Linked DNA regions of Arabidopsis thaliana. The protein of the gene in region 2 interacts with the protein of the main gene of each other region in a pairwise test. Each region holds a gene or a part of one and is shown on either strand. Other genes may lie near its edges. The genes, in order: AT3G56520 and MYB94.

The links.
Region 1: the proteins of MYB94 (region 2) and AT3G56520 interact in a two-hybrid assay, tested with the Arabidopsis thaliana proteins (one large-scale study listed by BioGRID).

What each region holds. Positions count from the first base shown.
Region 1 is NC_003074.8:20,946,532-20,949,847, reverse strand, and holds AT3G56520 (NAC (No Apical Meristem) domain transcriptional regulator superfamily protein), read left to right. Parts: upstream 1-2,116; coding exon 2,117-2,285; intron 2,286-2,382; coding exon 2,383-2,741; downstream 2,742-3,316. Other genes in the region: NAC064 (NAC domain containing protein 64), read left to right, coding at 1-103, 190-458, 548-937.
Region 2 is NC_003074.8:17,538,742-17,543,550, forward strand, and holds MYB94 (myb domain protein 94), read right to left. Parts: upstream 2,567-4,809; 5' UTR 2,295-2,566; coding exon 2,162-2,294; exon of another isoform or gene 1,994-2,161; coding exon of another isoform or gene 1,879-1,993; coding exon 1,749-1,878; intron 1,625-1,748; coding exon 886-1,624; 3' UTR 548-885; downstream 1-547. UniProt on the Arabidopsis thaliana protein: Transcription activator involved in the activation of cuticular wax biosynthesis under drought stress. Binds directly to the promoters of genes involved in cuticular wax biosynthesis. Transactivates WSD1, KCS2/DAISY, CER1, CER2, FAR3 and ECR genes.

The DNA.
Region 1 (3,316 bases), 3.4 Mb from region 2:
TTTCATTACTTGAAACCCTTTTCGCAAGGCAATAAATGCTCATTGCTCAATGTTCCTATCCATCGTGTGAACATCTACGAGTCAAATCCACAACATCTTTCAGGTTTGTCTCCGTCAATGGCTCTGTTCTTTATTCTCTAATCGTGGTTTATGTATATAAATGGCTCTGTTCTTTTGAATTCAATACAGAGAAATATGAGAAGGGTAATGATAAAGATTGGTTCTATATATCGGAGAGGACCAAGACCGGTAAGGCTGGAAGAAGTAATAAACGTGTCGACAATGGAGGATATTGGAGCGCAACTGTAGCTGCCCAAAAGATCAACGCTGGAAATGGCATAGTCGGCTACAAGACTTCACTAGAGTACTATGTTGGGAAACAATCAAATAGTGTCAAAGGGGATTGGTTAATGCAAGAGTACTGGTTTGAGTCTTCTGATGATAACAACAACGAGAAGGTGAGGGTAAGTGTCTTTACTTGGATTCCAAGTTATTAGGATTCGTGACTTTTGGATTTATTGTGTTTTGTTTTGGTTGGTGTGTATAGGTGGATCATGCTTTGTGCAAGATTTATCTGACTCCAGCGGCAGCAAAGAAGAAGAAAGCTGAGGAAGCAGAGAATGAGAAGCTGAAGAAAGAAGAAGACGTTGAGCAGCTGGATTTGAATCAACCAGACCAATTGCAGCTGCAACAGCCTCATGATATTGTGTATCAACCGCAGTATTGTTTACTTCCAGAACATCATCAGCCGCAGCCTTTTCCTGATAACTTTTCTGAGTTGATCAGCTTTCAACAGCAACCAGTGATGATCCCAGACGATTTTGAAGATTTCTTGGCTGAATTCACTAAACCACATTCACTGGATGGAGATGAAGAATTCAACAATTATGGTTTGTTTGAAGGCTTCTTTGACACAGAAGGAATGATAAAACATTAAACTAACTGATCTCAATCTGCTCATACTTTGTCATTTTGGTTTTTGTTTTCAAACACCAAAAACAAAAAGAAAACTAACTGATCTAGCTTTTGTGCCTTTATGAGTTTTGTTATCAGAAAGAAAACAGAGAGAAGATTTCATTAGTTTTTTTGCTAAAATTTCATTAGTTGCTATCGGCATTGTTTTTCAAAACCAGAGATAATTCTCCCTGTCTTTATTGCTTTTGATGCCTTGATCATATAAAACATTTATACACAATTTGTCCAACATTTTCTTACCGTTTTAAACTAACACATACAAATATAAAACACCGGTGTCTTCTTCTTCTTCATTTCCTCCTCTAAACATTTGTTTAGTTTATAAGCACGCAACAGTGCCACCCCCAAAATTTCTAATTTTTAATATTTTAATGGACTGCCCTCTTTAAGAAATTAATTCTGCCCCCATTAAATGAATCACTTCTCAAAACAGAAAGTTATTTGCAATTTATATTTCCTTACTACAATACAATCAATATCTTTTATTCAATATAATTTGTTCCTTTTCCTTTTCTTAATTGATTTTTGAAGATAGAAAATCAATCTTTATTTATTTGACTAACTACTTTTTCAATTTGTTGAAGTACTAAATAGTTATTAGTTATTACTGATCTTTTATTCTTAATGTAATCAAGTCTTTTTATGGGGGAAAAAGTATTAAAAATTTTCATTTCATAACTATCTTTTATTTTCATATAAAATATTGTTTTCAAAGTTAGTAACTCATAAGATTGTGACATGTGTCAAATCTATTGATCTTAGATTTTGACATTTGTAAAAAGAAAATTTCCTTCTATTAATTTTAAAACTATAAAAAATAATTGTGTGAAATTACAAATTAAAAATTATAAATAAGATAACTAAAAAAGCTATTTAAAAAAGAAATTATAAATAAGATAAATAAAACAAAACTTTATGTATCTTATTAAAAAAATAAAATTAAAAAAACGTTTACTTACTCTAATTTTAAGCTACTAATTATTAAACAAAAAGGACTACTTTTTATTAATGGGATCTATAAATAGGTAGCTCACCATAGCAACTTTTATTCATCCTCGATCAATAAACAAGCTTTTAGAATTCTAGTTTCAGTTTGCTTCAATCACAATTTCACCTTCTTCTTTTCTTTTTTTTGCTAAGAATGGAGCCAACACACAGAGCTTTGCCCGTAGGATTCAGGTTTCGTTCTACAAACTGTGAGATTTCAAACTATTTTTTGAAGAAAAAAGCTTTAGGACAACCCATGAAAGCTCGTACGATACCTGAAGAGTGTCATGATATCTTCTCAAGACATCCGCATGATCTGCCTGGTGAGAATTCGTGGATCTAAACTTTTATAAAGACAATGTCCATCTTTAATCATCCTGTGAAAGAGCCAACTGAATTTTCTTTGTTTCCTTCTTTCAGGTTATCCAAGTGAAGAACATTGGTACTATTTTTGCAGAAAACGTGACAACCAAGTTACTAGTAACTCTCATAATCTCTGGACACCAATCGGAGAAGAAACCAATGTGCTAGATCCAAAGAATAATGATGCATTAGTTGGTATTAAGCGTCGGTTTACTCTTATTGCGCAAGAAGAAGAAGAATCTGATAATATTTGTTTATCTGATGATGAAGAAGCTTTAAAGTATAATTGGTTCATGGATGAAATTAGCCTCCCACAAACAGTAGCGAATACTGATTGGGTTTTATGCCATATTTTTGGCAAGAAGACTAAACCCGAAACTACTGATTTGTCCACAATCGATTCCGAATCCGAATAGACTGCAAAGGTTTTTGATCCTATATGACCTCCAGTTCCTTCTCTGCACCTTAGCTTCTCTTCTTTATATATATATATATATATATATATATATATATATATACATGTTGGTTGGATTGTAAAGAGTTTTGACTAAAAGATCTAAAACATTCTCACTTTTTCACTAATAAGTAACATCTCCAAACTTTTAATACGAGAGTTGGGCCAGTTGCATAGAATTAGCCTCTCTAACACTAATCAAAACATTACAATATCGTTTTACAAAAACATTTCAGCAACAAAGTTCAGAATTCAGGTTCTGTAGACTACTCATAAGTCGATAACCCGAATGTGATTTGACCTGATTAACCGAAATAACGATAACCGGATACCAAGAATACCGGTTTTGTACATTATCGTTACAAGAACCGGATTTATTTAACCCTAAACAAGCGAACGAAGTTTTACACACCACCGTCTTCTTCTTCTTCCGAACGGAGAGTACTAGTTGTTCGCCGACGGCACTAGCTTCTTTTTCTTTCTCACTTTCGGTAAAGTTTCCTGTTTTCCTTCAGAAACGAAGACAAAAAAGTAGAG
Region 2 (4,809 bases):
TAAATTCCATTTTCAGCCAATTAATTTACTAAGCCCGAAATTTATTAGAGACTCAAGCAAAAAAAAAGTCAACGAGTTGGGTGTGAGACAGTGTGACATTAAAATATGTGTGATGTCTCTAAGGTAAAGCATCTCTACTTGGATCATGCTCGTTGTGCTCAACACAGGCATAAGTCAAACAAACACTCACATTTTCTTCTGCATTAAATTCACTACTTTTTTCTTCTTTTTTTGCCTCTCCTGTTAATTAGCAGCTTTATTTTATTAGTTTTACATAATTCTATGAATCACTAGATTTTGCCTCCTATAATCGGATACAAAACTAGATTTTGCTCTTTAATTTTCTTTTAGTAACAACTCATTTTTTGTTTGTTTAATGAAATATCTCACCAGTAAAAGAACCTATATCTTTATTATAGAACTTCATTATTTAGTACATTAAACAGTTTAAAGTAATCTTAATCTATATAATGAATGAGGAGAAAAGTTTGTTCTACCTACTGATTGAAGTTTATGGAAACATAAAATCTGAAACCTAACCATATCAATACTAATTAAGTGACATGAATTTGTATAACCAAATGAGTCACACGATTAAAAAGACGTTACATTAATAAAGATGATGTACACTTTTGAGTTTCTACTACATAGAAGATATCATCTCCACGTCGACAAAGATTTAAGGAAAAAATAAAGAGTTACTACTAAAAAGATAGAGAAAAATGTGTTAAAACTTAAGAGTTACTACTAAAGACTAAAATCCCTAATTACTGCAATATGATCATAATAAGGATTGAAAACAAAACTAAAGAGTACTTAATTATACAAATTGTTTATAACTAAGCCTCGTGGTTCCTCAAGCAAATCGTCAAACTTTAATGCTTTCTAGAACAACACTTCCTGACCCTCTAGTGACATGTTATTGATGATCATATCGTGGCTTTGCTCATCAAAGAGCCATTTCTCGAACAAAGAAAGAGAGCCTTGTGTAATTAGACCATTAATGTCATGGTCTATTAGTTTAGGCTTCTCTTCAGCTTCATCTATGGAGTTGAAGCTGAACAAAGAATGGTCAATCCCTTCTCCGTCTCCTTCGGTTGTGCTAGGGCTCGAAGCTGCCGTGGTGATAGCCATCTCGGTGGCTGCAACCGGCAAGGGCACCGAGGTCTTTGGTGTGTCTTTCATAAAATTCTGAAGCAAACGAGCAATGTTCTCAGCACTTGAAGCATAGACCCCAGATGGGTATGGATTAGTGTTTCTCGTGGTGGTGGTGGTGGTGGTGGTAGAGGACGAAGAAGATGATGGACCATAACCAAGATCGGGAATAGAAAAATTAGTTGGGTTTTGTGGTTTGTCAATAGACAAGGCATCACAAAGAGCTTGTTTAGCCATGTTGATATCTGTCTGAAGCCTTCTCTCCCATTGACCTTTACTGGAGTTGCTGCTTTGATGTGAGGTAGTGTTTTTGTTTGATATGGAGAAGTCTTTATTATCAAGGCCATTGTTGATAGTACTATCACAAGAATCATTCATCTTCTTGAGCTTTTTCTTCAAATGAGTGTTCCAATAGTTCTTTATATCATTGTCTGTCCTTTCTGGAAGATATGATGCTATAGCTGCCCACCTTCATAATTATTTGGTCCCCAAGTTATTTAAAGTTCAAAACCTTATCTTTATGCATACCCAAAAAAATAAAAGAATTTGTATACTTTTATAGATCATGTGCATGTGAATATGTATGTATTTACCTGTTTCCCAAAAGAGCTTGAAGATGGAGAATCATCTTCTCTTCATGCTCGGTGAAATTTCCACGCTTGATCCCAGGTCGAAGATAATTAGTCCACCTCAATCTACAGCTTTTGCTACATCTCCTCAAACCTAAATCACCACAACAACAACAAGATAATTTCATTAAAAGAGTAATTAATTTGTGATATATGGACAAAAAAGCTGGTGCCATAAATCGGATATTATTACAATTTTTCCTTTTCATTAAATGATCATACCAACCAAGTGGAAGCCAGAACAAAACAATCACAAACCCAAGAAAAAAACAAAAAACATTAAAGGGTACTTCTGAAGAGTATAGGGGTTAACAATTGAAATTAAAATATTACTATTGTTCATTAAAAAAACATAATATTAAGATAGAAGAAGATACCTGTGTGAGTAGGCACAGATCTCCAGTTTCCAGGACCATGTTCTTGGATGTAAGAAACCAAGATGATATCTTCCTCTGGTGTCCATGGTCCTTTCTTCACTCCAATCTTGTCACAGCATGGTGGTCTTCCCATCTCTATCTTCTCTATGTAAATATCACTTTGTGATTAGGGGAAGAATGGAACGGTTTGTGGTATGAGCAGAGAGAAGGACTTTGATGATGATCAGATATATATATTGGTGAAGAACGGTTTGTGGTTTTTTGTGGCTTGAGAGCTTAGGAAATTGTAGGGTTAAAGAGTACTTAAGACAAAGAGGTACAAGTGGTGGTTGGTTTTGTCTGAAGATGTGGAGAGAGAGCTTGTGTATATTTATACAGCCAAAGAGAGAGAGAGAGAGAGAGAGAGAGAGAGAGAGAGAGAGAGAGAGAGAGAGAGAGAGAGAGAGAGAGAGAGAGAGAGGTTTAAGCTGAAGAGTGAATTAGTAGCAATAATAATAGAGTTAAAAGTAACAATAATGAAGAGTGGGGTTTTGCTATCAAAGAGTCAACATGGACAGCCAAATGCATTTACTCTCTTGCTCTCCAAAGTCAGCCTCCTCTCTCTCTCTCTCCACCATTACTCCATGCTTTCTCTCTCTAAAATTAGCCTACTATTTTCTCTTTGTAATTAGTCATTTCATATTATCGCAAATAAACCCTTAATTTTGTCTCCACACGAGAACATATGTGCATGTATCATTTTATTAGGTGTTCATCAATTTGATTGGGTTTAGACTTCAAAGACTTTGATTGCATTTATGCATGGGTCCACAATGAGAGTGAAATGAGTATATAACTTCTATTTATGTAATTAAACCTTCTAATTATACATTTGGAAAAGCATACATGAATTAAACAATAAAAGGATTTTCATAATATGAATTTGTAAATTTGGATTTTCCACTTGCATGCATATATGTGGCATGATTTTACAATGTCCTTCCTGCGTTATTGAGAACCAACCGGAATTTAAACTAATTATCTGTCTCTCTAAAAATATTGATATTTTGTGAGTTATGTTGTGATCAAATTGGTATACATATCATATGAAAACTATTACATGATCTCAAAATATATAAAACTAGTAACCACTTAATAAGTCGACTTAGCATATATCAAAATTGAGTGAACTTAACTAAAATCAAACCAAATATTTTGGTTTCAATCCCGTCAAATTCTCATGAACAATCAAATATAGACATCAACAAAACACAGAATAAGTAGCAAAATTTATTATTTAAAAGAAGAAAAAAAAGAAGTTAAATTTGAATTGATGCGAATTTAGTCGAACATGTAAAAATGTTAATTAGTGGTGTCAGGTGTGACTTGTGAGCTTTTGTAGGTAATTGAATTGAACGGTTGATAAAAGATAATCGAAACACATATCCCCACATTCCCAATAAGGAAAATGTCCACACATATAGATCTTTTGGTGATGTTGGACTTGTTGGTATATTTAGATCGATAAACTTTTTTTTTGTAAAACAATAATGATTGTAATCTCATACACTAAGAATTGGTTTAAAAATCAGTTTAAGGATTTCAAAAACTTTACAAGAAACGAGAGGAATGTTGCAAAGCGCGTCGTCGTTGTGTATTGAGCTTTTAAATTGGATAGGAAATAATATTATACGTATCTAAATAATTAACATAAATATTATATAATACAATATGAAAAAATCGTCTGAAGATACTACGTACAATAGATACAAATTCAACGGACCGTAGAGACTTCATTGAACAAAATAGGTTGAAACCCCATACGCCACGTCTTTTTGTATTACGTAACCCATGTCCCGAGGATGATGGTATTAATAATTTTGACTAAAATCGTCACATAGACACCTCTAACTAGTTATATTTATTTGTTGTTAAAGTATAACTAGTTATATTGTAATACTGAATATCAGAAATTGAATTGTATATTTCGAAATTATTTTACGTTGTTGGTATCGTTTATAATATTGATTAGAATTCAACAGAAAACTTCTTGTCTGGTTCTTAAGGTTAAGATTATGCTTTTAATTTTACCGAGGCTGAGTATCATGCTATGCGTCGATTTCTTTTTATATAAGAATTAAGGTATTTGAAGATAAGAAAATATTTTCAACATTTTAGGTCTACATTTCAATTATTGTAGACCTAAGTACATTTTTTATAAAATAATGATATTCTTAGCAAAAAGAAAAAAAAAATTGTATTAATATAGTATATATGCTTCGATATAAGCAATTGAGTGCACTCATTCATCAAGTGAATTGGCAACTAAAAGTTATTAGTATGCGAGTTTTAAACCAACGTTTCGTTTAGTTACAAGATTAGGGAAGCAATTTTACTCTCAGCCAATATATGTCCATGTTCACCCAAAATCTTTGTAGGGGTTGGTTAACCCAAAAAACTCCTTAGTAATATTCCGATGAGTAATATTGATTGCTTTGCATTTTTTAGAGGGTAAAGAAAGGCATAGAAACTAAGTCAGAACTTTTGGGTAACAACGTGAATAAACCAAGAAGAGAGAATCCTTAGCTAAAAACAAAATTGTATACATCTTTTTACAATTAATTTCCTTTTGGCGTCAGTATACAATTAACTAAACTGTGCTTATATAG